Linked DNA regions of Drosophila melanogaster. The protein of the gene in region 1 purifies or fractionates together with the protein of each later gene. This does not show direct contact. Each region holds a gene or a part of one and is shown in the gene's direction. Other genes may lie near its edges.

Evidence for each region.
Region 2: the proteins of CycB (region 1) and Hsp83 purify together in Drosophila melanogaster (affinity purification with western blotting; one study listed by BioGRID). This does not show direct contact.
Region 3: the proteins of CycB (region 1) and Cdk1 purify together in Drosophila melanogaster (affinity purification with western blotting; 8 studies listed by BioGRID, with this or other methods). This does not show direct contact.
Region 4: the proteins of CycB (region 1) and msps purify together in Drosophila melanogaster (affinity purification with western blotting; one study listed by BioGRID). This does not show direct contact.

The regions. Positions count from the first base shown.
Region 1 is NT_033778.4:22,802,350-22,809,088, reverse strand, and holds CycB (cyclin B), read left to right. Parts: upstream 1-2,140; 5' UTR 2,141-2,407; coding exon 2,408-2,443; intron 2,444-2,589; exon of another isoform or gene 2,590-2,797; coding exon of another isoform or gene 2,798-2,815; exon of another isoform or gene 2,816-3,003; coding exon 3,004-3,149; intron 3,150-3,213; coding exon 3,214-3,422; intron 3,423-3,524; coding exon 3,525-4,429; intron 4,430-4,498; coding exon 4,499-4,795; 3' UTR 4,796-5,568; downstream 5,569-6,739. Other genes in the region: stl (stall), read right to left, coding at 134-310. UniProt on the Drosophila melanogaster protein: Essential for the control of the cell cycle at the G2/M (mitosis) transition.
Region 2 is NT_037436.4:3,191,030-3,198,026, forward strand, and holds Hsp83 (heat shock protein 83), read left to right. Parts: upstream 1-1,939; 5' UTR 1,940-2,338; intron 2,339-3,469; coding exon 3,470-5,623; 3' UTR 5,624-6,030; downstream 6,031-6,997. Other genes in the region: CG14965 (uncharacterized protein), read right to left, coding at 1-1,401; CG14966 (uncharacterized protein), read right to left, coding at 6,069-6,491. UniProt on the Drosophila melanogaster protein: Molecular chaperone that promotes the maturation, structural maintenance and proper regulation of specific target proteins involved for instance in cell cycle control and signal transduction. Undergoes a functional cycle that is linked to its ATPase activity.
Region 3 is NT_033779.5:10,384,093-10,388,588, reverse strand, and holds Cdk1 (Cyclin-dependent kinase 1), read left to right. Parts: upstream 1-2,326; 5' UTR 2,327-2,411; coding exon 2,412-2,560; intron 2,561-2,945; coding exon 2,946-3,449; intron 3,450-3,506; coding exon 3,507-3,747; 3' UTR 3,748-3,850; downstream 3,851-4,496. Other genes in the region: mRpS7 (mitochondrial ribosomal protein S7), read right to left, coding at 1,115-1,727, 1,802-1,845; CG5096 (uncharacterized protein), read right to left, coding at 3,962-4,393, 4,452-4,496. UniProt on the Drosophila melanogaster protein: Plays a key role in the control of the eukaryotic cell cycle. Required for entry into S-phase and mitosis.
Region 4 is NT_033777.3:16,048,540-16,054,042, forward strand, and holds the start of msps (mini spindles), read left to right. Parts: upstream 1-2,261; 5' UTR 2,262-2,637; intron 2,638-3,338; exon of another isoform or gene 3,339-3,377; intron 3,378-3,535; 5' UTR 3,536-3,605; coding exon 3,606-4,294; intron 4,295-4,349; coding exon 4,350-4,420; intron 4,421-4,484; coding exon 4,485-4,804; intron 4,805-4,863; coding exon 4,864-5,503. Other genes in the region: IKKbeta (I-kappaB kinase beta), read right to left, coding at 1-272, 682-781; CG5013 (uncharacterized protein), read left to right, coding at 1,249-1,377, 1,429-2,043. UniProt on the Drosophila melanogaster protein: Binds to the plus end of microtubules and regulates microtubule dynamics and microtubule organization. Function in neurons is essential for adult survival, and is important for climbing behavior and activity.

The DNA.
Region 1 (6,739 bases):
AGACATTCCTTGTTGATAAGCCTTAAGTTGCAATGAAAGATGTTCTACTTTTGCAGTTCGTCGTGCAGCCACAAAGCCAAAGTGCCATTCATTGGACGACAATGAGGCAGCATTGATTGATATCGGGACTCACCTCAATGCCATTGTAGTGCAAGCTCCTCTTGCGACGCAGCTCAATGTTGACGGATTTTGGATTGGTGGAGGAGGTGGAGGATGAGGAGCTGCTGGCCCCGATTAGCAGCCACAAGGTGGTCAAAACAATTAAAGCCAAACGACGGTGCCGATTAGATCCAATTGCTGCGACAGTCATAACGATGCGTTGATGATGACGGCTTCTCTGGGACTCCACAGGTGGCTATTGTAATGCTCCTAGTGCACTAATCGCTCTTTGTTGTGGCAACAACCACGCGACGATTGTTGCATAAATTGCAAATATATTATTCCTCAGGCTGCGCACCGATTTCGGTTTTTTTGCGTCATAATTTTCAGTGGTAGCGGAGTTACATTTTCCAGCGGCGAAAATCGAGGGTGGAAAACTTGGAGCCCGATTTCTCAAAAGGGGAGAGAGAGCCAAATGAAGGCGCGATCGTGTACGGGGCTCCAACTTTTACGGCTGTTAATTCAAATGTTTATGCACTAATTAATTGCCCAGGCATTGCATTACGAGTCATTTGTTGTGGGCCACTTTTTTTTTTTTTTTGCACTCTATCTTATTTATGTTTCGTTTTATTTTAGTGGCTGGTGTACTTTAGTTTGTTGCCTAAGTTCTTCCTTATGGATCGACACTCGAGATAAGACCAAATGGTGCTTGAAAAATGCTATTTTAGCTCCAGCTCCAGTTCTGAATTGCCAATATATTGTACATATAATGCCAGTCTTTTGTCATTTAAACGCACTTGATTTTATTTAAACGCCAGCGCACAATTAAGCAGCCAGCAACAAACACACACGGCATATAGATCATCGGCTCTGGAGCATAACGATCTTCTGGTTTTATGTCCATAGCCGAAAAGCACTTTATATGTATATTTTTTAACTAAAAATCGCTAAATCACGCCGAAATCTGACCGCTTTGGGGCATTTAAAATTTGAAACGATTTACTGGAGGTCAATGCGCGTTGGATCGATCGAAGGACTTTTTTCGTGGCGACGAAAGAGACGGCGACAGAAGCGCAGAAAGAGGCGGCGAGAGCGAGGCAACCACTCGCGACGGCGGCACTTTTGCGAATGAAATGTGAAAATCACGGAAAACTCGAGCTCGCGATCGTCGGCTGGCGCTCCATTCTCGTTCGGCTTTTTGGCCGGAGTTCGCAAAAGTACTTTTGGAGCGCAAACAGACTCATAAATATATGCTAATGAGCCAGAGCGCCGGAAGAAGAGAAGAAGAATGCGCCAACCGTTAAGACGCAGCAAAGGGCCACAAAAAAAAAACAGGAGAGTTTGGGGTACTAAACAAAAACAGAGGCAAAATTCTGAGGCGATGGCGATTGTTTTGTGGTCAAGTGCTTGAAAATGATGGAGCAGACGAAAACTTGACACTGATCATCAGCAAAAAAGGCTGCGGAGTGGCAAGAATTATGCTGCATTTCCGCCGCGGAGTTTCGATGTTCTGCGGCCTGTGGCAGCAGGAAATCTTAAATCAGCGAATGCAAATCAGGGGGGCACAAAAACAAACCGAACACAGCCAATTGAAGTGATCAACTTTTAATTGATGCAATCAATGGATGGTGCAACCGAGTGACGACTGGCAGTCAAAGCGATGGCTTTATTAAAATGGGGAACCTTAACCAACTATCAAATTTAATCCATGAAGTTTTCATTTTTAAAATATGTATAAAATGGATTGAGCTTGAATATCTAACAGAAATTTCAAACTGTAACGTTTTCTTTTTCGGCTAATTTTAAATTTAAATTTGAAATTTATGGGTAGCACTGTTTCAGCCCTGTCATCGATAAGCTGTGCACCAGTACTGGTCACACTAAAACTATCGAAAATTATCGCACGTATCGCATCTCTATTTTGCATGCTCTGCTCTAATAAATCGATTATTCTCGAGCGCCACTGCGGCTTAAAAGGGAACTAAGTCCAGAAATCGATATCGTCAAACTCATCGGCATTTATCATCGAGTTTACTTCCATCCCCATTCCCATTTTCAAATTCAAACGGCAGCTTGGCCTCGCTTCGTGTGCAAAAACTCGATCAGGTTTTCGGAGAATTGACAATCCCGCACTCGACTTGTAAATTATAAACTATTAGTAATCATATATTCGGACAACAAATTCAACAGCTAAACAAGCGTTCGGTCACAGAAACGCGATCAAAAGTCAACCAAACCAAGTGATAGCCAAGCGTCTGCCTATCTTCGTGTTAATTGTGTTTGTACAGATAGAAAAGAAGCAATCAAAATGGTGGGCACAACACTGAAAATGCGTGGCGATGAGGTGAGTTGATCCCTAGAACATTAAGATTACCGTGGCATCCGCGAAAAGGTCATGGTAAAGTCACAAACTAGTGGGCTCGTCATCAGCGAGACGCCATTGCAGCGTGGTCATGTAGAGAGGGGCAAAGAGGACGCTGCGATAGTGCGATGAGTGTGTGAAGGGAGGGGGAAAAGAAAGAGTGCCGTTTGTCCCGGGCGCTCATTGTTGTCGTTGTTGCAGTTGCCTTGCTCACATTTTGGCGCAATTTTCTACCGGCGGTGCTTGCACCGTTAATTAGTACTCTCCACACCTATTTTTCGCACCAAATCACAGAGGAGATAAATCGAGGATCAGTCTTGCGGTGCTTTTCCCAAAATGGCCGCCCTTGAAAAGGTGCATTTCATGATCAAGTCATTATTATGCAACAAACTGATCTTGCTTTAACAATTTAAAATAATTAAAATCAGTGCTCAATAATTAAAGATGTTAAAGAATAGGGTTCAAAGTGCAGATATGCATTCAACTATACTTGTTGCACTTCTCCATTTGTTTTCTAAAACTAATTAAACAATATTCGATAGAACGCTTCGGAGAACTTCAAGCAAGTGCAATTGAAGAAATTGACGGTTCCTTCCATGGAGGCAACAACAAAACGCGCGGCCTTGGGCGATTTGCAGAATCGCGGCATAAGTCGTCCCATCGCAGCGAAGGATGCGGCACAGAAAGAGTAAGTGTTTGAACCAGTATCAAGTATTCCATTCGCAATCACATGTGGTTACTCCACCGAGCAGCTCCAAGGATCTCAAGCTCACAGACGCCCTGCGCAATGCCAAAGCTCGGGTGGACAGCCACTGGAAGAAACAGCCACTGGGCAGCACCAATGGCAATGGCAATGGCGCCGTTCCGCCCAAGGTCAACGAGGGGGGCGTGTCGGCGTTTTTGCGTTCGAATTCGGTGCGCAATCGCGTTCCGACCAAGACCACTGTAGAACCCACTAAAGGTAAGCAAAAGAGCAATCATCTACCAATCATCATCATCTACCATTTCCAATTTTTGAATGGCTTGCATCATACTGACCCCAATTCATCTTGAATCCCCAAAGTTACAGTCAAGTCCAGTTCTTCCGAGAACGTGAACGAGCCCACCTTAAAGCGCGAGGACAGCAATCTGTCGAAGAAGTCGCTGACCAAACTGCGTGCCGCTTTGGCCAAACCCGTGATGGGAGTTTCAGGAATTCGACGGGAACCAGTAGCTGTTTCCCGCAAAGAGGCAGAGACCAAGAAGGAACTGCCAGAAACCAAGAAGGACTCACTGGAAGTGAAAAAGGATGCGACCAGGATGCCCCTTATTAGGGGCAACAGTGCAGTCACTACGACCACATCTACGATGCCCACCACCATGTCCCTTTCCAGCAAGCGCTTGGCTGGAATCGAGGACATTGATGCCAATGACAAGGAGAACCTGGTACTGGTCTCCGAATATGTAAACGACATCTACGACTACTTGTATCAGGTGGAGCTGGAGCAGCCCATTCACAAGGATCACCTGGCCGGACAGAAGGAGGTGTCCCACAAGATGCGAGCCGTGCTGATCGATTGGATCAACGAAGTCCACCTGCAGTTCCATCTGGCTGCAGAGACCTTCCAGCTGGCGGTGGCTATCATTGATCGCTACCTGCAGGTGGTCAAGGACACCAAACGCACGTACTTGCAATTGGTGGGAGTGACAGCACTCTTCATAGCCACCAAGTACGAGGAGCTGTTCCCGCCGGCAATCGGAGATTTCGTCTTCATCACGGACGACACCTACACTGCCCGGCAGATCCGACAGATGGAGCTGCAAATCTTCAAGGCCATCGACTGTAATCTGTCGCGTCCGCTGCCGATTCACTTCCTTCGACGCTACTCGAAGGCTGCTGGCGCCGAGGACGAGCACCATACGATGTCCAAGTACTTCATCGAGTTAGCTTCCGTGGACTACGAAATGGCCACTTACAGGCCATCGGAGGTGGGTTTCAATACACTATCCCCTTTTATTTAGCATAGGTATATGTAATATTTTTTGCGGCGCCTTTAGATTGCAGCTGCCTCACTGTTCCTGTCGCTGCACTTGCTCAATGGAAACCACCGGGCCGGTACAGGATTCAACGACCGTCACTGGACGCCCACTCTGACCTTCTACTCGCGATACTCGGCCGCGCACTTGCGTCCGATTACCCGGCTGATCGCGAAACTGGCCCGGGACGCTCCTCAGGCCAAGCTGAAGGCCATCTACAACAAGTACCAGGGCAGCAAGTTCCAGAAGATCGCGCTGCGAACGGAGCTGACCGGTGCGCTGATGGACTCGATTGTGGGCCAGAGCCAGAGGAAATAGTGCGGTCCAAGGCGGACTGGAAGACCCTGACTTACCTAGTTTAGTTTAATTTGTTTTCATTTTTAAATTTGTAGCGTATTTCATTTTCTGTTCGTTTCGTGTTCGTTAAAAAATGCGTATAGTTACCGTAGTCGCATTGCCAACTATCTTTACCTGCATCACCCATCCCTAAGATATCGTAATCTGCTGGAGTCCCTTGAGCAGTTTTCGGCTACTGCCAAGAGCTGGCTCCGGCATCTTTGCCCACGGAGCACAAGTTGCTCGCGAGCCGGCCGCTGGGAGTGAGTTCCTCCGGTAAGACTAGGAACCGAACTAAACTGGAGCCCGTCAGCTCCTTTCGCTGGGTCACCATCTCAGTGGGAGCGAGCGGCGGAGCGGTGGACACCGAGAGAGAGAGTGGGCAACGAGTTCATTTGCTGGCCGAACACATCGGCGTTGTCTCTCCAAGAATTATATTTTATAATTGTACCCGTGAAATCATTTCATCCCCTACCTACCTATCACTAATTGTATTTGTCGTTAGTTTTTAGTTTCGATGGGAATGAATAAATCCAAAAAATTGTGCAAAATTATTCCCATAAATCGCATAAAAAAGAGACGTAGACTATTTGTAATTTATATCATGTATTTCGCACATTCATACAAAAACAACTTATGCTAGTTATATTGTTTACCACTAAGCAACGATTAAAACACGTTTTAACTAACTGATGTTTCCCAAAAATGTCTCTGAACAATACATAGAAAATAAAGTTTTGTATAATTTTATAAACAATATTCGTGTTTACCTTGCATGCAATGTGCCGCCATGTGACTTCATTAGTTTTGAAATCTTTCCGACAGCTGATAAGTGTGAGAAATTTTCCACACCCCTAAAAAAACCAGACAGCCTGAGATGAACGCAGACCCTTTTCCAAGGACGGAGGTCCTTTTGTCCTGCATTCTTATCAATCCTGAATACACAATATATGTACAGTGATATACCTCTGTATACCCTGCACCTATGTACATACATACAAACATATGTATAGTCGGCGCCCCTGGGGAAGGTCACCTTCCCGATCGCAGGTCAGTTACTTCTCTTCCGCTTCTCCCTTTCCTTCTTCCCTTTTTAACGCTTTTCTCTCCCTTTTTTTGGTACCGTGTTCCATGGGCAACGGTAATTGCCGAGCACATTGCTCGCACATGGTTGTGCGTGTGTGTGTGTGGGTGTCTATCTCACTTTTCTCATGTACAGTAGTTACTCGATACAAAGCCAAATAAAGGCAACCTTATAGTTAAGTTCTTAAGAAACATATAAGCGAATTATCGAACGAATATTTCAAATAGTTTTCGTTAGTAGCAATTAATGCATTAGGTAAAAAGTTTGAGTTTCAACATTTGTTCGCCTTATAGAGCGCCCACTGTACACGGCCTGCTGACTTTGCTGTGCGCCTGTTCGAAATTTAAGTTTGACGGTTTTATGACTCTCATTAATTCTTGTTTACGGTCAAACAAATGTAGTAAAAAGAAAGTCATTTTTCTCGGCACCTCCGCTGCTCCTCCCTTTTGGCATATTTTATGTTGGCTGCCAGTGGCAATCGGCGTCATAAAAACTCCATGCCGTATAAATCGGGCTTACAGTTTTTGGGTCTTGGTACCCTCTGTTTCTTCTTCTCTTTTTGGAAACTTCTTGCTCTCGCTTCTGGCTTGCTGTTACCGAAATATGCACAGCATGAACCACTCCGAACCACCGGGTTCGAGTTCCTTTCTGAATCCTGCGCCTTGGAGCAGACAGGCGGTCGTTCAGGTAGTTCAAGGGGTGGCTAATTCGCACGGGGGTCAAGAGGTTACGGTTACGCAAAAGGACATCTGCTCGTCGTCTGGCGGATCAGCTGAGCCGAAAGGACCAGGATTAGTTAGGGAAATCCATTTCGGCAACAGAACCTCAAGAAACCAAGCTTA
Region 2 (6,997 bases), on another chromosome or scaffold:
AAGAGCAGTGGGTTTGATTGCAGCTGAAGTCCACGGGGACTCCGCTTGCAGTCGTTTTAGTTTGGCATTCTCCTCAGACAGCTTTTCAAACTCGGCCTGCAGTTTATCGTACTCCTGAAGAAGCTTATCGCGATGGGCATCTTCCGATGAAGATGGTTTTTCATCTGGTTCAGACTCGTCCTCACTGTCAGTACTAAGTGGTATGTTCTCTTCAAGGTTTAGAAAAGATTCAGATAAGGTTTCGGAAATGGAATCACTCTGACTATTTTCTTTGCTAGAACTAAGATTAATTTGGATGGATTGGGTGGGTTTCTCCAACATCGGAGTCTTCTGCTCATCCCAGAATTTCTCTTGCAATTGTGTATATCGGTTCAATATCGTACCGTTCTCAGGTGAAGCGTGGGAGTCAGTCTTTTGTGCTTCTTGGGGTAGCTTCCTTTTCTTAGCCTGCTCCTTGGTGGATTCATCTTCGTTCAGTCTATCAGCATCTGCCTCCTGCATCCCACGTTTTCTAACCACAGTCCCTTTAATTGGTCGGTACTCTTTTCTAGTTGGCACTTGCTTTTCTTGACATTTATCGGCAAGCTTTGGCATTTTCATAACGTCAATAATACAACTTTTTGATTTAATTTGCTTTTCTGATTCCTTGGTGACTGTTCGCATCTTGCTTGTATCATCAGTTTGTTCTTTTGGGAGCTGCTCTTCAAGCTGAAACAACTCATTCTCGCTTCCTGATTGACGCTTTACTGGTCTTTTAATCAATTTGATGCCCAATGAAGGCTGAAGTTGACTTATGATATCTAGAATGTTTTGAGGCATAGCCGAAGCGCTTGTTGATGTTGTAGAACTCTTATGCGCCACCGTTGTTTTCTCCGTGTGTACAACCGGCTGTTCCTGCTCCGTAGCCAGCACTTCGTCGGCTTCGTCTTTCCCTTGCGGTTCCTCCTCTTCTGTCAACTCTACTGTATTTCGTTTCTTAACAACATCCAAATTCTGTGTCTCACCATCCACGAATCCCAGAGGACACTCGAAATCTTTAGGTGGTATTAGGTGTTGCTGCTTTGGAGGCGTCAACTTCACGAGAAGAGCTTCACCGTTCTGGTCGAGATTTTCATAGTCTAGTGCCAGATCCCTGTTGATCCTGAACAAAGTGGGCGTCTGCATTGGGATGAGTCTGTCCATTTTGTAGTTCATGAAGCATTCCGCTCGAAAGTGCCGGGCACAAACTGTTTTGGCTGCCAGTTTGGACGGCGGTGCATTTGAAACGTCAGGGTTTGAACAATTCCTGACCCAATCTTTCAACCTCTTCGGATCCTTAACGGGGAACTTGAAGAAGTGCATATTGGGGTTGCGGCTAGAACCCACCGGACAATCACGAAAACAACACTTAGTGCCGCCCATTTGTTTAAATATAAGCAAACAACTTTTATGTTATTAGTGGTGGAAGTGTTAGCGTCAGCTGGTGATATCGATGGGAGGCATCGATAACAGAATTGACCGAAACCAAATGATCGATATGACACTTCTTAATTAATGAGAGATTTTTTACTTGACTGGGCTTGTAGCAGGTTTTGCACAGAAGCAATTATTTTCCGGAATGTGAAATGTCTGCTTTTTAGCTAATTACAACAAAAACTTTCCAATTTTTGTTCCCCAAACCCACTCAAGTGATTTCAAATTTTACCGTCCGCTTAAAATGGAACTAGTTTATTCCAGAGGAACCAGCTTGCACCACCAAGTCTCTGAAACTCTGGAAATATCGATAGTCTGGTGGAGAAAAGTATTCATAAATATAAATAAAAATTAACAGGTCATAAGCTGATTTGTTTATTATTTACTGTTAAAACAAGTAAAATAATATTGGGAACAATTAAATTTTCCATTTTCCTAATTACAGTATAAGCCTAGTGGGCGTTTTGATATCCAATTGTAATGTTTTAAGCAATCCCAGTGGGCTTTGCTCAATCGTTCGGACCACTTAGACGAATTTCCACCAAACTTAGTTCAGTATAATTTTTGAATTCGCCCGCACAGGTTGCGCACTTTTCGACCGTATCACAACACTGATCTACCCTAGTATTCACAGGAAGTTGCATCCCTGGCATCCAGAAGCCTCTAGAAGTTTCTAGAGACTTCCAGTTCGGGTCGGGTTTTTCTATAAAAGCAGACGCGCGGCGTTTGCCGGTTCGAGTCTTGAAAAAAATTTCGTACGGTGTGCGTCGTAACAACAAGCAGCGTCTGAAAAGTTTTGTGAATTTCCAATTCTATACAAAGCAAAGTGAAAATATCTGTATTTTTACCTTTATTCTGTGAATAGAACGAAAAACATACATACAAGGTGAGTAATGCAAATTACAAGAAAAGAGTGAATAGTTTATCAGTGGCTATGGCCAAAATGTGCATTTTGCGTGGTCCTGTGCATCTCGAATGTTCTTGACCCAAATGTGAGATATTGATTTTAAATTTCTAGGAGCCAAGTTTAAGAATTTTTTTTGATTAATTAAGAGGTGGCAACGTGCAAATTAACTCAAAATGCCGGTTTCTTTTATTTTTTGTCGCTTGGACGCATCTTCCAGAGGTTTCTATGCTTTAGCATGAATTAAACATCGTGCCAAATAGGCCTTTTAATTATATATTACTGTCCTTTATTTACAATTACATGTGGTTTATAGAATACAAGATTAATTTTTGTTTAATGCAATGGTCTTTTAGCGCTAAATCGAATTATGCCGCTCTTTTTAGGGGGTGACAATGCGCAAATCACATTTGCCGCTCGAGAATGTTCTAGAGGTTTCTATGCTTTAGCATGAATTAAACAGCGTGCCAAATAGGCTTTTTAATTATAAATTACTGTCCTTCATTTACAATTACACGTGCTTTCTTTGCATTCCCATTTTAAATTGCACATGCCGCATACGCACACATGCACGCCCATGACTAATACTTTCAAGTAAAAATGTGGCGTCAGTAAGCAAATTCTGTTAAATCGGTTTTTTAATCCTATTTGCTCTATTTTAATTGGTTGGTTGCTACTAGCAACTTGCTAGGCGAATTAGTTTTCCTTTGGCTTCTAGATGCTTCCACAAACTTCCTTGGTGAAGTACGAATTTTCAATGCAATGCTCACTCACACAGACACGAGTTTGCACACAGCAGGGGTAGAAAAATTATCAACCGACCCAATTTGCATAATTATATTTAAATATTTAAATTTAAAACATTATTTTGCAACTTAAAATCAATTCTGTTGGCTAATTGAAATTAAAATTCCATTTTACGGGTTGCAAAGTGAATGCTATAATTTTGACCACCACTGTACTTGTATATGCGCATGTTAAATGAGGCATGTGCAAAAGAGAAAGAAAGAAAAAGAATAAAACCGGAGCAGCTGCTGAAAATGCAGCTGCTTTTCCTTAGTGTTGAACCCACAGACTATAACTAATCCTAATGATTTTGTAAATCCATTGCAGATGCCAGAAGAAGCAGAGACCTTTGCATTCCAGGCTGAGATTGCTCAGCTGATGTCCCTGATCATCAACACATTCTACTCGAACAAGGAGATTTTCCTGCGCGAGTTGATCTCGAACGCTTCCGATGCCCTGGACAAGATCCGCTATGAGTCCCTTACTGACCCCAGCAAGCTGGACTCTGGCAAGGAGCTGTACATCAAGCTGATCCCTAACAAGACGGCTGGTACTCTGACCATCATTGATACCGGTATCGGTATGACCAAGTCCGACCTGGTCAACAACTTGGGAACCATTGCCAAGTCCGGAACCAAGGCCTTCATGGAGGCTCTGCAGGCTGGTGCCGACATTTCCATGATCGGTCAGTTCGGTGTGGGTTTCTACTCCGCCTACCTGGTCGCCGACAAGGTGACTGTCACCTCCAAGAACAACGATGACGAGCAGTACGTGTGGGAGTCCTCTGCCGGAGGCTCTTTCACAGTCCGTGCCGACAACTCTGAGCCCCTGGGCCGTGGCACCAAGATCGTGCTGTACATCAAGGAGGACCAGACCGACTATCTGGAGGAGAGCAAGATCAAGGAGATTGTTAACAAGCACTCCCAGTTCATTGGCTACCCCATCAAGCTGCTCGTAGAGAAGGAGCGCGAGAAGGAGGTCAGCGACGATGAGGCTGATGATGAGAAGAAGGAAGGTGATGAGAAGAAGGAGATGGAGACTGATGAGCCCAAAATCGAGGATGTTGGCGAGGATGAGGATGCCGACAAGAAGGACAAGGATGCCAAGAAGAAGAAGACCATCAAGGAGAAGTACACTGAGGATGAGGAGCTGAACAAGACCAAGCCCATCTGGACCCGCAATCCCGATGATATCTCCCAGGAGGAGTACGGCGAGTTCTACAAATCCCTGACCAACGACTGGGAGGATCATCTGGCCGTCAAGCACTTCTCCGTGGAGGGTCAGCTGGAGTTCCGTGCTCTGCTCTTCATTCCCCGTCGCACGCCCTTCGATCTCTTCGAGAACCAGAAGAAGCGCAACAACATCAAGCTGTACGTGCGTCGTGTCTTCATCATGGACAACTGCGAGGACCTCATTCCAGAGTACTTGAACTTCATGAAGGGTGTGGTCGACTCCGAGGATCTGCCCCTCAACATCTCACGTGAGATGCTGCAGCAGAACAAGGTCCTAAAGGTGATCCGCAAGAACCTGGTCAAGAAGACCATGGAGCTGATTGAGGAGCTCACCGAGGACAAGGAGAACTACAAGAAGTTCTATGACCAGTTCAGCAAGAACCTGAAGCTGGGTGTGCACGAGGACAGCAACAACCGTGCCAAGTTGGCCGACTTCCTTCGCTTCCACACCTCTGCCTCCGGCGACGATTTCTGCTCCCTGGCCGACTACGTGTCGCGCATGAAGGATAACCAGAAGCACGTGTACTTCATCACTGGCGAGTCCAAGGACCAGGTCAGCAACTCTGCCTTCGTGGAGCGCGTCAAGGCCCGTGGCTTCGAGGTGGTCTACATGACCGAGCCCATCGATGAGTATGTCATCCAGCACTTGAAGGAGTACAAGGGCAAGCAGCTGGTCTCTGTCACCAAGGAGGGTCTGGAGCTGCCTGAGGATGAGAGCGAGAAGAAGAAGCGCGAGGAGGACAAGGCCAAGTTCGAGAGCCTGTGCAAGCTGATGAAGTCCATCCTGGACAACAAGGTCGAGAAGGTGGTGGTGTCCAACCGCCTGGTGGATTCGCCCTGCTGCATTGTCACTTCGCAGTTCGGCTGGTCCGCTAACATGGAGCGCATCATGAAGGCCCAGGCTCTGCGTGATACCGCCACAATGGGCTACATGGCCGGCAAGAAGCAGCTGGAGATCAACCCCGATCACCCAATTGTGGAGACTCTCCGCCAGAAGGCCGATGCCGACAAGAACGATAAGGCCGTCAAGGATCTGGTCATCCTGCTGTTCGAGACCTCTCTGCTGTCCTCTGGATTCTCGCTGGACAGCCCCCAGGTGCACGCCAGCCGCATCTACCGCATGATCAAGCTGGGCTTGGGAATCGACGAGGACGAGCCTATGACTACCGACGATGCCCAGAGCGCCGGAGATGCCCCCTCGCTGGTTGAGGACACAGAGGACGCTTCCCACATGGAGGAGGTCGATTAAGCGACCAGTCGAAACAAACAACCAAAATTCATTCTATCACTCGCATTCACATACACAATTTACTTGCGTTTCGAACTTTTATACTGAGTTTACTACGGCCGAGTTAAATTTTGTATTCATTAACATTTTGCCGCGTTATAAGCGACAGACATACGCTTAACTCATAAAAAAGCAGGAATAACTCGTTAAATGGTTAGGTTCTCACAGAACATTCAAGAGCAGTTGTCGTTTTAAGAACTTATAATTTAGAATCCAAGTAATTTATGTAAAAAACTAAAGACTACATACGCGCCCTAGTTGGTAGAGCTATATAAAGAATCGAGTATATATATAATTAAGGTTTGATGACCCGATCGATGATAAACATAAAACCAAATAAACAACAAGCAAATGTGTTTTAAAAATCTAACTTCTGAGCGAGTATTTATTGGGGGGAATAAACAATCTATGAATCGGATTCTTTGCGCAGCAGCTGCTCAATGGCCTCCACCGTGGACACTCCCTTGGTTATCATTATTATCTTGTTTCGCGATCGAGATCCCTTGTCCAAAGAAACGTCGCTCTTTCGAAGACCTAGAACTTTCGACAGAAACTTGACCAGTTCGGCGTTAGCTTCTCCCTCGCTGGGCGGAGCGGCGATTTGGACGCCCACTCCTTCAAAGCCAATTCCTGTGATTCCGTTCTGCTTAGCCCCCGGCTTGGCAAGGATTTGTATGCATATATTGCCGCTCTTATCGACTGAAATCGGACTGGCTTCCTTAGCCGGCATCGCTTTTGCATCGTTTTTCGCACTTTCAACGCCGGCCTTTGATTTCCCCTTGCTCTTCGACATTATTTGGGCGTTGACCGATGTAAACAAGCGGCGCATTAGCTTCTTGGCAATTATTTTAAATATTTTGTGTTTTTAAATGCATTTTAATAGCAACTAGTGTTTAATTTTGCGAGGTCTACTGGCGTCTATCAGCTGATTCGTGGAGAAAACCAGGGATGCGCACATATAGGGATGAGCATATCTCGTGAGTTCTCACTCACGAAACGAAGATAAAACTACATTTTTACATTCCATGTAACTTACAGATTGGACATGAATAGTACGATTCAAAAATGTATTTTTATTTTCCTGTTGAGTATTATTTAACGGTTTTCTAAACACATTCCCCCCGAAGTCACCACAACATGTAAATAAAAGTATTAAAACAAAATATGATTAGGTAAAAAATTATCATATATTCATCATTGTTATGTACTCATAGTTTCTTCTCTACTCGTCTTTGCATTAGAAAACAACGCTTTAACACTTTGCACTATTTAAAACTGCGCCGAGAAGCATCTTAAAAATGCATTTATCGCCTATAAATGATCGGGGATCATTAT
Region 3 (4,496 bases), on another chromosome or scaffold:
TCGAACGGCTAGAAAACATACCCTGCACCGAAATAAAATACATTTCGTGAAAAGTACTCACCCTAATATCCACTGTTAATTCTATGTATGCAATTCCTTTTGTTGCAGCGAGTGTTGACGTTGAGCCACCAGCAGCGTATGTATTACATATACATATCTCTTTCGTATTAATACCGAGAATCCTTGTGTTTTCAACAACAGTTTGATAAGTTTACCCAACTTTTTTTTTTGTAATGTCGTCCAGTCGACTTCAACTAGTAGTACGATTATGTGTTTTGGGATTATATCAAAATGCACAGCTAAAGTAAACCGTTTTGCGATAAACTCTTCGTTTACACATTGCAAATATGCATGACACTTCTATTAACTATTTTAGTTCACTGCGCTTATGCGAATTTCAACTATAGGTAAAAAATTCTTTATTTATCATTCAGCTCGTTTTAATTTTCGTGTGCTCGGGATCGCCATCTTTGTTCTCTTCGTGCGTCATCTGTAGCGTTGCGATTCGATAAGAATCGATAGTCCCTTCGATAGACGTACACCTCGACAACCTTAACGCACTGTTTACACCGTTGTCGTTGCGCGATAAACAGGTTACATTTTTTAACTTTGCACTTGAAAAAATATGTTTTTGAGACAATCAGGATAATTTATTTGTATAAAATTGCATTTTATACTGAAATTAAATAGAAAAATTCTAAAAAGAGTAGACTCTGTTATTAAGCTGTGCTATAATTTTAAATTAAATTCAGAAGCTTAAAACACGACGAACCAGGTAAATGGGTTGAAGAAATTTATATAAAAACTTAGTATAAGTGTAATAAGAAAAACTTTGGGTTTCAATAGCTATAACACCATTTGGAAAATCCAATTTTCAAATCTACTATAAACAACGTATAAGGAAAAATAAAGAAAAAATATTAGAAATGTGTTTTTATAATGGTATCATAGCTTCATACAATTTTACTAAGGTCCTCGTTTTTAGTCCCCATAAATCCAGGAATTATTTCGATATTCCGCTCTCTTAAGACATTCCCCGGACACAAATCCTAATCATAGATATTAACAGGTATATGAAAAGTTTATTGCATTGGAAAAACAGTTTGTTGTGCATTTAGCTCCATCGGTAATGTGCGTAGGCGCGGTTGCTTTCGCACAGCCTGTGCAGATCGTCCTTTCGCTTGATGACCCTTCCCTGGCCATGGGCTGCGTCGAGAATCTCCCAGGCCAACTTTTCCGGCAGGGACACCTTACGCTCCTTCTCGCGGGCAGCTTCCAAGAGCCACTTCATGGCCAGAAAATATGACCGCTTCGTGGTGATGGGAACAGGGACTTGATAGGTGACACCACCACGTTTTATGGCGGTCACTTGAAGGAGCGGTCGGCAGTTTTCAACCGCTTGTTTCAGAAGCGTTTCGGGATTGGTGTTTATGGTTGTCTTCTCCCCTTTGGCCAGATTCATGTGCTCCGTCTGGGTTCGTTTTATTAGCTCCAGCGTCTTGGACAAAAGCGTTCTGGCCAAGGCACTGTTCCCCTTTTTCGTTATATAATTGATCATTTTATGTTTTGTATCGTCGTGAAAGATGGTATCAGACGATTTGTTGACCGCCGCCTTGATGGGCACATGGTAAAGCTTGGACAGATCATTCTTTTGCTCTAGTTGTTTATATTTTTGTACAATTGGTTCGACATAGTGTGTGGGATACACCGACATCAATCGAAGGCAGCTACAATAAACAAATGGGTGATCAGTCATTTGTGTTTTTAGAGATAAGTAACACTTTAGAGAAGTTTAACTTACCTGAGCCTTGAAGTTTTCTCTGCAATCCTACCTAAAAGCGACATGTTTACATCGTCTGCTGTGTCGGCAAAAAATAAAAAAACTATGTTATATATATGTTATGCACATTTGCGGCATGCATATAGGTGTGTCAAGATATCGACAAAGAGCTTAGTAATTTTGAAACAACAAAAATGAAGTAAAACAGTTGCGGTATTCCAATTACATTTTTTAAATTAATTTCTTTAGTACCGTACTACTGGTACTCACCTTCAAAAGATATAAAATAGAAATTAATTGCACCAAAAACTCATAAGTTAATTAATAGTATATTAGCAGAAACGTTTGTCTCCGAACTCAAACAAAGTGATGTCTTAATTAATTGAAATCACTATAAAAAAAAGCGTGGAATTTTACAGTACACTAAAATTAACTTTAAAAAAATTAACAACATTTTTAAGATACAGCAATTCAATAAGTTGCCTGAATATTGAGTTTCATTCCCACATTCCAAATGAATAAATGTAGCTAGCTTAGCATCGTTTAAACTGTCTGGTAATACTAGAGCATATACGTCAAAAACGCGCTAATTTAAAAGTCGGTGGCTTGCAAAGAAATAGCTTAATAAATTATGGAGGATTTTGAGAAAATTGAGAAGATTGGCGAGGGCACATATGGCGTGGTGTATAAGGGTCGCAACCGCCTGACGGGCCAAATTGTGGCAATGAAGAAAATCCGCTTGGAGTCCGACGACGAAGGCGTTCCATCAACCGCGATCAGGTAAAATGCCGCGGCTTGGACGCCCAAGCCTCAAAATGTTTCATGTTCTTTCGCGACTTTTCCATTCAAATGGCTTATATGCTTAATTGAAAGTATGTTCCTTGACATCTTATGGGTTGGTTTGAAGATTTTGCAATATTGTTTTTAATTTATACTGTGGAAGTCTAGCATAATTATGTTACGGCTTATGTTCATCATACATATGTGTGTGTATGTACAATCCTATATGCGTACTTATGCTCATGTGTACATCATCATACTTTCTATTTATGTTTATTAATTGGAAGCCTGCGAATACTTTCTGGTTCAACTGATAGACCAATAACTAAAATACTTTAATCACATGTTTTTTCTATAATGTAGTAATATTTAATATCCATTACAGAGAAATTTCGTTGCTTAAGGAGTTGAAACATGAAAACATTGTCTGTTTGGAGGATGTTTTGATGGAGGAGAACCGCATATACTTGATCTTTGAATTCCTATCGATGGACCTCAAGAAATACATGGATTCGCTGCCAGTTGATAAGCACATGGAGAGTGAATTGGTCCGTAGCTATTTGTACCAAATAACTAGCGCCATTCTTTTCTGCCATCGTCGGCGAGTACTTCACCGTGATCTTAAGCCGCAGAACTTACTAATCGACAAGAGTGGCCTCATAAAAGTCGCCGACTTTGGACTTGGCCGATCCTTTGGCATTCCGGTGCGCATTTATACGCACGAGATTGTTACCTTGTGGTACAGAGCGCCGGAGGTGCTACTGGGTTCACCCCGGTATTCCTGTCCCGTCGATATCTGGTCCATTGGATGCATATTCGCGGAGATGGCAACGAGAAAGCCGCTATTCCAGGGTGACTCGGAAATTGACCAGTTGTTTAGAATGTTTAGGTAACCACAGGTAATTTACTTTCTATTCCCTGTGATACTCACACTCATTGATTGCAGAATTCTGAAAACACCTACCGAAGACATTTGGCCGGGCGTTACTTCGCTACCCGACTATAAGAACACGTTCCCCTGCTGGTCCACGAACCAATTGACCAATCAGTTAAAGAATCTCGATGCGAATGGTATTGATCTCATACAAAAGATGTTAATCTACGATCCAGTTCATCGCATTTCCGCCAAGGACATTTTGGAGCATCCCTATTTCAATGGTTTTCAATCGGGCTTAGTTCGAAATTAACGTTCGGTATTCTCGTTTGACTTTAACTAAGAATTTTAAAACAAGAGATCTTGGTATCTAATCTAAAGCAAAATAGCCGTAAATAAAACTAAGGGTGTAAAACAATCAACGTTTACTTAATTTATGTAAGTGTATTTACAGATTTACGCCAAATTACCAGCGCTCTAACAGAATAATAAGGCTTCAAGGCTTTAATTATTATACAAAAAGAAAGTTAAATATGGAAATCCTCGTTGAAACTAGTCCTATTATAGAGAGCACTGCTAGCACCGCTGTCATGACGTCTAAAGACGCCAAAGCAGCCGCGCCTCTTCATCACGTAAGCACCAATGATGGTCGGCACCGCGATGAGCAGGACAACCAAGAGTCCAACCCATATAAGACTGCCCGTCGAACTTTCTATCATATGTTCATTCGCCACTCTGAGCAGCGTAACATCGTTTAACTTGTTCGGACCGCCACATTTGACATCTTTGGCCAGAACGGGCGTGGTCTTGTTGATTCGATCTATCAAGACGTTGATCAAGAAGTCATTGGATTCGTCGCAATTCCACGGGTTGAATCTAAGATCCAGAGCCTTAAGTTTATCCCAGCGCACTAGTAGTTCTTTCGGCAAAGTCGACACGTTGCAATTATTCAAGTAAACCTAAAAGTTTATGTTATTTAGTTGATTAAAGCTCTACATGCTTTTGCACTTGAATTACCTTTTCCAATGGCGGGTAGTCCAAGTACTGGCCACCAGTTACGTT
Region 4 (5,503 bases), on another chromosome or scaffold:
GAACTCCGTCAGACCATTAGCATTCTCCGGGCTCTGCAGACGCTTCCTCACGTCTCCACCGTTACAGTATTCCAGCACAATAACAGGCAACTTGGCACTAAACATGCCATTCAGGTACTCCAAAAAGTCCGGATCCTCGATGTCCACGCCAGCCACAATATGGGGAAAGTTTTTAAACTGACGAGACCAGTTCAGCTCCTTGTTCCAACGCTCGCTGAGCTTGACTTGCTGATCGGCACTCAGGGCCCCCATCTCCTTTATGTGCTTGGTGGCTATGTGGAAAATAAATAAACACTTAAGACTGACGCTTAAAATATCTGCCATATCGGCTAACTCAGCCGAAAGGCTATAAGCGACATATCTAATGCGGAGACCACACCAAACGCGCAAAACTCGAGCCCTCTATCACTATCAGTGGACCACCCGGAAACGCATGCCTCAGCTCGGTTTCTGGGAATTGTTGGACAACAAACATGTTCATATGTATATGTATGTTGTTTTTATGGTTTTATTATTTGGATATATACAAAATACAACAAAAAATTTATTTATTTATGAGTAAGGCTGGAAAGGGGGAGGGTGTTTGGGGGCTGGTAATGTGTGTTTGCGAAAAAGAAAATCCTTAAAATATTTATATGTATATGTATATTAGTGTTAGCCCATAAGGTGTTTATAGCTCACCAATTTCACGGCCCGTTGTTCGGTTTCGCCAATGGATCACTAGGCCGAATCCGCCCTCTCCCAGATTCCGGCACCGCTCCCAGTTCCCAAAAGAGTGCATCTTGTTGTTTTCGTTAAGCTTTATTTTATTTACGGAGCTCATTCTTCCAAGAATCTGAATCCCTCCATGGCAATCGGAAAAGCAAAACACCACAGTGATCATACAAGATTTGCGATATTCGATTGCTTATACACTAGTCATCGTTCAGCAGCAATCGCGGTCACGAGAATTTTGTTTAGAGGAGCGCTCAGCTGCAGCCACTTTCAATTGGGATGCATACCTTTAAATAAACTGGACGAATTGGGATACCCAAAAACGTTTTTAATTGAAGCTTAGAAATGGTGGCTTAAAATGTCAACTGCTACTGAAGTCACCCTTCGGTCACTATTTGCTTCACTCGCCTCAATTTTTATCGATTAAGTTATCGCAACGAAGTGACATCGCTAATCAAACAGGTTGTAAACAAAACGCTGAAAAATAACTTTAGTTTAGTGAAAATAGTAATACTCCTGCATGCTTGAGCTAAGATGCGTTTCCACATGAAGAGCGGCAGCGAGGACAATGACATTGTGGCGGCCACAGCCACTGCCGAGCATATCCGCAAGTTTGTCTTCAGCGGATCACCCGCCGAGCGACTGGAGATCAAAATACCTGAGGTAATCCTTAGAACCAGGTGTTCGTGTAGTATCTAAAGTGTCCGCCTACAGCTGCTTCAGGGTGCCTACTCCTTCTACACATGGCCTTGCGCACCAATTTTAGCCCACTTCCTGTGGGAGCGCCGACAGACACTGGCGGGCAAGCGCATCCTGGAGCTGGGAAGCGGCACCGCCCTGCCCGGCATTCTGGCGGCCAAATGCCGCGCCCAAGTGGTACTTACTGACAACTGCATTCTGCCCAAGTCACTGGCCCATATCCGAAAGTCCTGCCTGGCCAATCAACTGCAGCCGGGCGTTGATATCGATGTGGTGGGCCTGAGTTGGGGCCTGCTGCTGAACAGCGTGTTCCGACTGCCGCCTCTGGACCTTATCATTGCAGCAGACTGCTTCTACGATCCCAGCGTGTTCGAGGATATCGTGGTCACAGTTGCTTTTCTGCTGGAGCGAAATGCCGGGGCCAAATTTATATTTACATACCAGGAGCGGAGCGCCGACTGGTCCATAGAGGCGCTGCTCAAGAAGTGGAAGCTGCAGGCTTTACCCATCAGCATGGAGGACATTGGCAAGGAGTCGGGAGTGGATCTGCTGGAGTTTATGGGCGGACACACTATTCATCTTCTGGAGATCACGCGCATCGAAAGCGATGGCTCAATAAATACAACATAACAATTATACAATTGGCTTTTTTTATGCTGAATGTCAAATCTCTCTTAGTTAATGTTCTACACGGGAATGCTCCCAAACATCAAATAAATATTTGCCTGTGGTAATCGCTTGAAATCAATGTTGGCCAAATATTTGGAAATATATGTTTAAAATTTAGCGCGTACCTATCAAAGTTTTCCACCCAGCACACTAATTCTAGGTTTTAGGGGATGCTAGAGTTGTGAGTAGCGGTCACACTGGCGCAACGACGCTGTTGGAAAACTGCGAAAATTATTATTTATTTACCTACCGCGAAACCAAGTAAATTCCGCTGCACAAAAGAGGCTCGAAGTGCTGGAAACGTAGTTAAGTTATTGTTCATTGTTGCTACATTACTTGGCATCCCGGAAAGACCCCGTCGGTGTGTCTTTGTCGAATAAGTGTGCGTGCTTCTGTGTTGTGCCGTGTGTAAGTGTTGGTACGTCGTCGCCTGCGAAAAATCGAAGTTATTGCATTGCGCAGCCCTTTCAAGCCGCTGTCCCTGGCCAGCTGTAAGTCCCGCAGCTCCTCGCCCAGTCCCCGCTCTACGGCGGTACTTGGATCACAATTCTGATGGTGAGTGTGCTAGTGCGTGTACCGGAATGCACTCGGATGCATCGCGATTTTGTTCCAGGGCGTCGCAATTTGTTTGTCGCTAAAATGGGCGATATGTGCTTCATCTGCGGCTCTCAAGTTGCAGCCACTGGAAATTGATAGCCGCTGCAACCATTGGCGGTTGGGTGGAACGGTAAACGACGGCATAATCCAGACACACAGCCCACAGGAGAAACATTTGTTGTTGCCTGCGGTATGATCCGTTAATTCGAACTTGAGAGCGTCGGTGTGCGTGAGAGCTTGAAAGAGCGAAATCAAGAGAGAGGAAGAAACAAAGCGCGGGCATATCCGAATTGAAAAATGCTCTACTCAAACGTGAGCACAGTAGGAGCGCATCAAAACAATATTAAAGAGACAGATGCATGAATAATAAATGGGAGTGATGGAAAATCCACGCCTGATTCAGTCGCAGGCTTTCGTGTGCGTGTGTCACCTTTTGTAGTGGTTGTGCGGGGGGTATTTGCCGTGCCCCTGATTAATTGACTGAAAAAATAACGCGCTATTCAGCGACATGATATCACCCATCCTGGGTGACAAGCCCACCAACCTTTTCCGAAAATCCAAATTTACACTCTCCTATTTCTGCTTCTGTTTGCCAAATAACTGCACTTAGAAAACGACAATCTAAATATGGCCGACCCATTTACTTTTTTCCGCCCCTCGAGCGAAACGGATGGATGATTCTGCTTCCTTGGCCATCGGTATTTCATAGACTATTAAGCTCAATTTTAAAACATCAGCTCGATGACTCCTGACATCCGGAATAGTTCTGCTTCATTGGAAGCTTGGCTAGTTTTTCTTTTAAGAAAAATTCGATTAAAGTAGCTTTTTTATACATATTTATCTTTTTGTTTCGCAGAATGCTGCTTGAGGCTGTTTGCGACTGAGACCATTGAGGAGAACCCGAGTAGCGTACGAAACACGACACAATGGCCGAGGACACAGAGTACAAGAAGTTGCCGGTGGAGGAGCGGTGTGTCCATAAACTATGGAAAGCCCGCGTCGATGGTTACGAGGAGGCCGCAAAGATCTTTCGCGAGCTGGATGACGAGAAGTCGCCGGAATGGTCTAAATTTGCAGGGCTCATAAAGAAGATGGTAGTGGACTCTAATGCTCTGGCCCAGGAAAAGGGTCTAGAAGCGGCCCTCATTTTTGTGGAGAACAGCGGGCTGGCGGGACGCACAGTAGGCGACGTGATGACAGGCATCGTTCAGAAGTGCATTGCGGCGCCAAAGACCAAAACCAAGGAGCTCTCCGTCCAAGTGGCTCTAATGTATGTGGAGATAGAGAAGCAGGAGGCCGTCGTCGAAGAGCTGGTTAAAGGTATGGAGGCCAAGAACCCTAAGATTGTGTCTGCCTGCGTGGCAGCCACCACACTGGCCCTCCGCGAGTTCGGACACAAGGTGATCGGCGTCAAGCCGTTAATTAAAAAGCTTGCTCCGCTAATGTCTGACCGAGACAAGACGGTCCGAGATGAGGGCAAGCAGCTGGCTGTTGAGATTTACCGTTGGATCGGAGCTGCAATGAAGGCACAGATCTCAACGCTACCACAGGTAACGCTAAAGGAGCTGGAGGATGAATTCGACAAACTCAAAGGTGAACGCGTTGAACCCTCCAGGTGTGTTCAAGGATTTCTCTCTATCATTGCCTAGCTAAACCGCTCTTACTTTTAGATATCTAAAGTCCCAGCAGGAAAAGCAAGCGAAGATCGCCGATGCTGCAGCGACCGAGGATGCATATAATGGTATGAAGCCCTCGATATTACAAAAGCAGTGAATTATTGATTTGATTTTGGTTTTCGTATGCAGAGGATGATGGCGAGGCTGGCGTTGAAGAAATCGATCCTATGGATCTTCTAGACCCCGTTGACATTCTCTCCAAAATGCCCAAGGACTTCTACGATAAGCTGGAGGAAAAGAAATGGACTCTGCGCAAAGAATCGTTGGAAGTCCTGGAGAAACTGCTCACTGACCACCCCAAGCTAGAGAATGGCGAGTATGGAGCGCTGGTAAGCGCTCTTAAAAAGGTTATAACCAAGGACTCCAACGTAGTCCTCGTTGCAATGGCCGGAAAATGTCTAGCCTTGCTAGCCAAAGGATTGGCAAAGCGATTCTCAAATTACGCATCCGTAAGTAACTCTCACCTTCTTCCAAATAACGTGTTTTCATATGTGTTCTTCTATTTCAGGCTTGTGTCCCATCCCTGTTGGAAAAATTTAAAGAGAAGAAACCTAATGTTGTGACAGCGCTGCGTGAAGCTATTGATGCCATATACGCCTCCACTTCTCTAGAGGCCCAGCAAGAGTCCATTGTAGAGTCCCTGTCCAACAAAAATCCAAGTGTTAAGTCCGAAACGGCCTTGTTTATTGCCCGTGCCCTAACCCGCACCCAACCAACCGCGCTAAACAAAAAGCTGCTTAAACTTCTGACCACCAGTCTAGTGAAAACGCTTAACGAACCAGATCCAACCGTACGCGACAGCAGCGCCGAAGCTCTTGGTACTTTAATAAAGCTAATGGGAGACAAAGCGGTGACTCCTTTGCTCGCCGACGTCGATCCACTCAAAATGGCCAAGATAAAGGAGTGCCAAGAAAAGGCGGAGATTAAAATAAAGGTTGCAGGTCCAAAGAAGGAGACACGACCTGCATCTGCACCGACTGCGAAAGCTGCTGCTCCGGCTAAGACAGTGGCTGGTAGTGTGGACCCTAAGCCAGTAACCCGACCGGCCACTACAGGGGCACGTAAGGTCTTGAAAAAACCGGCGACGGTTAGTGGAGGAGGAGCTACATCTGCCCCAACTGCAGCTCTTAAAGCGGGTGGAAAACCCC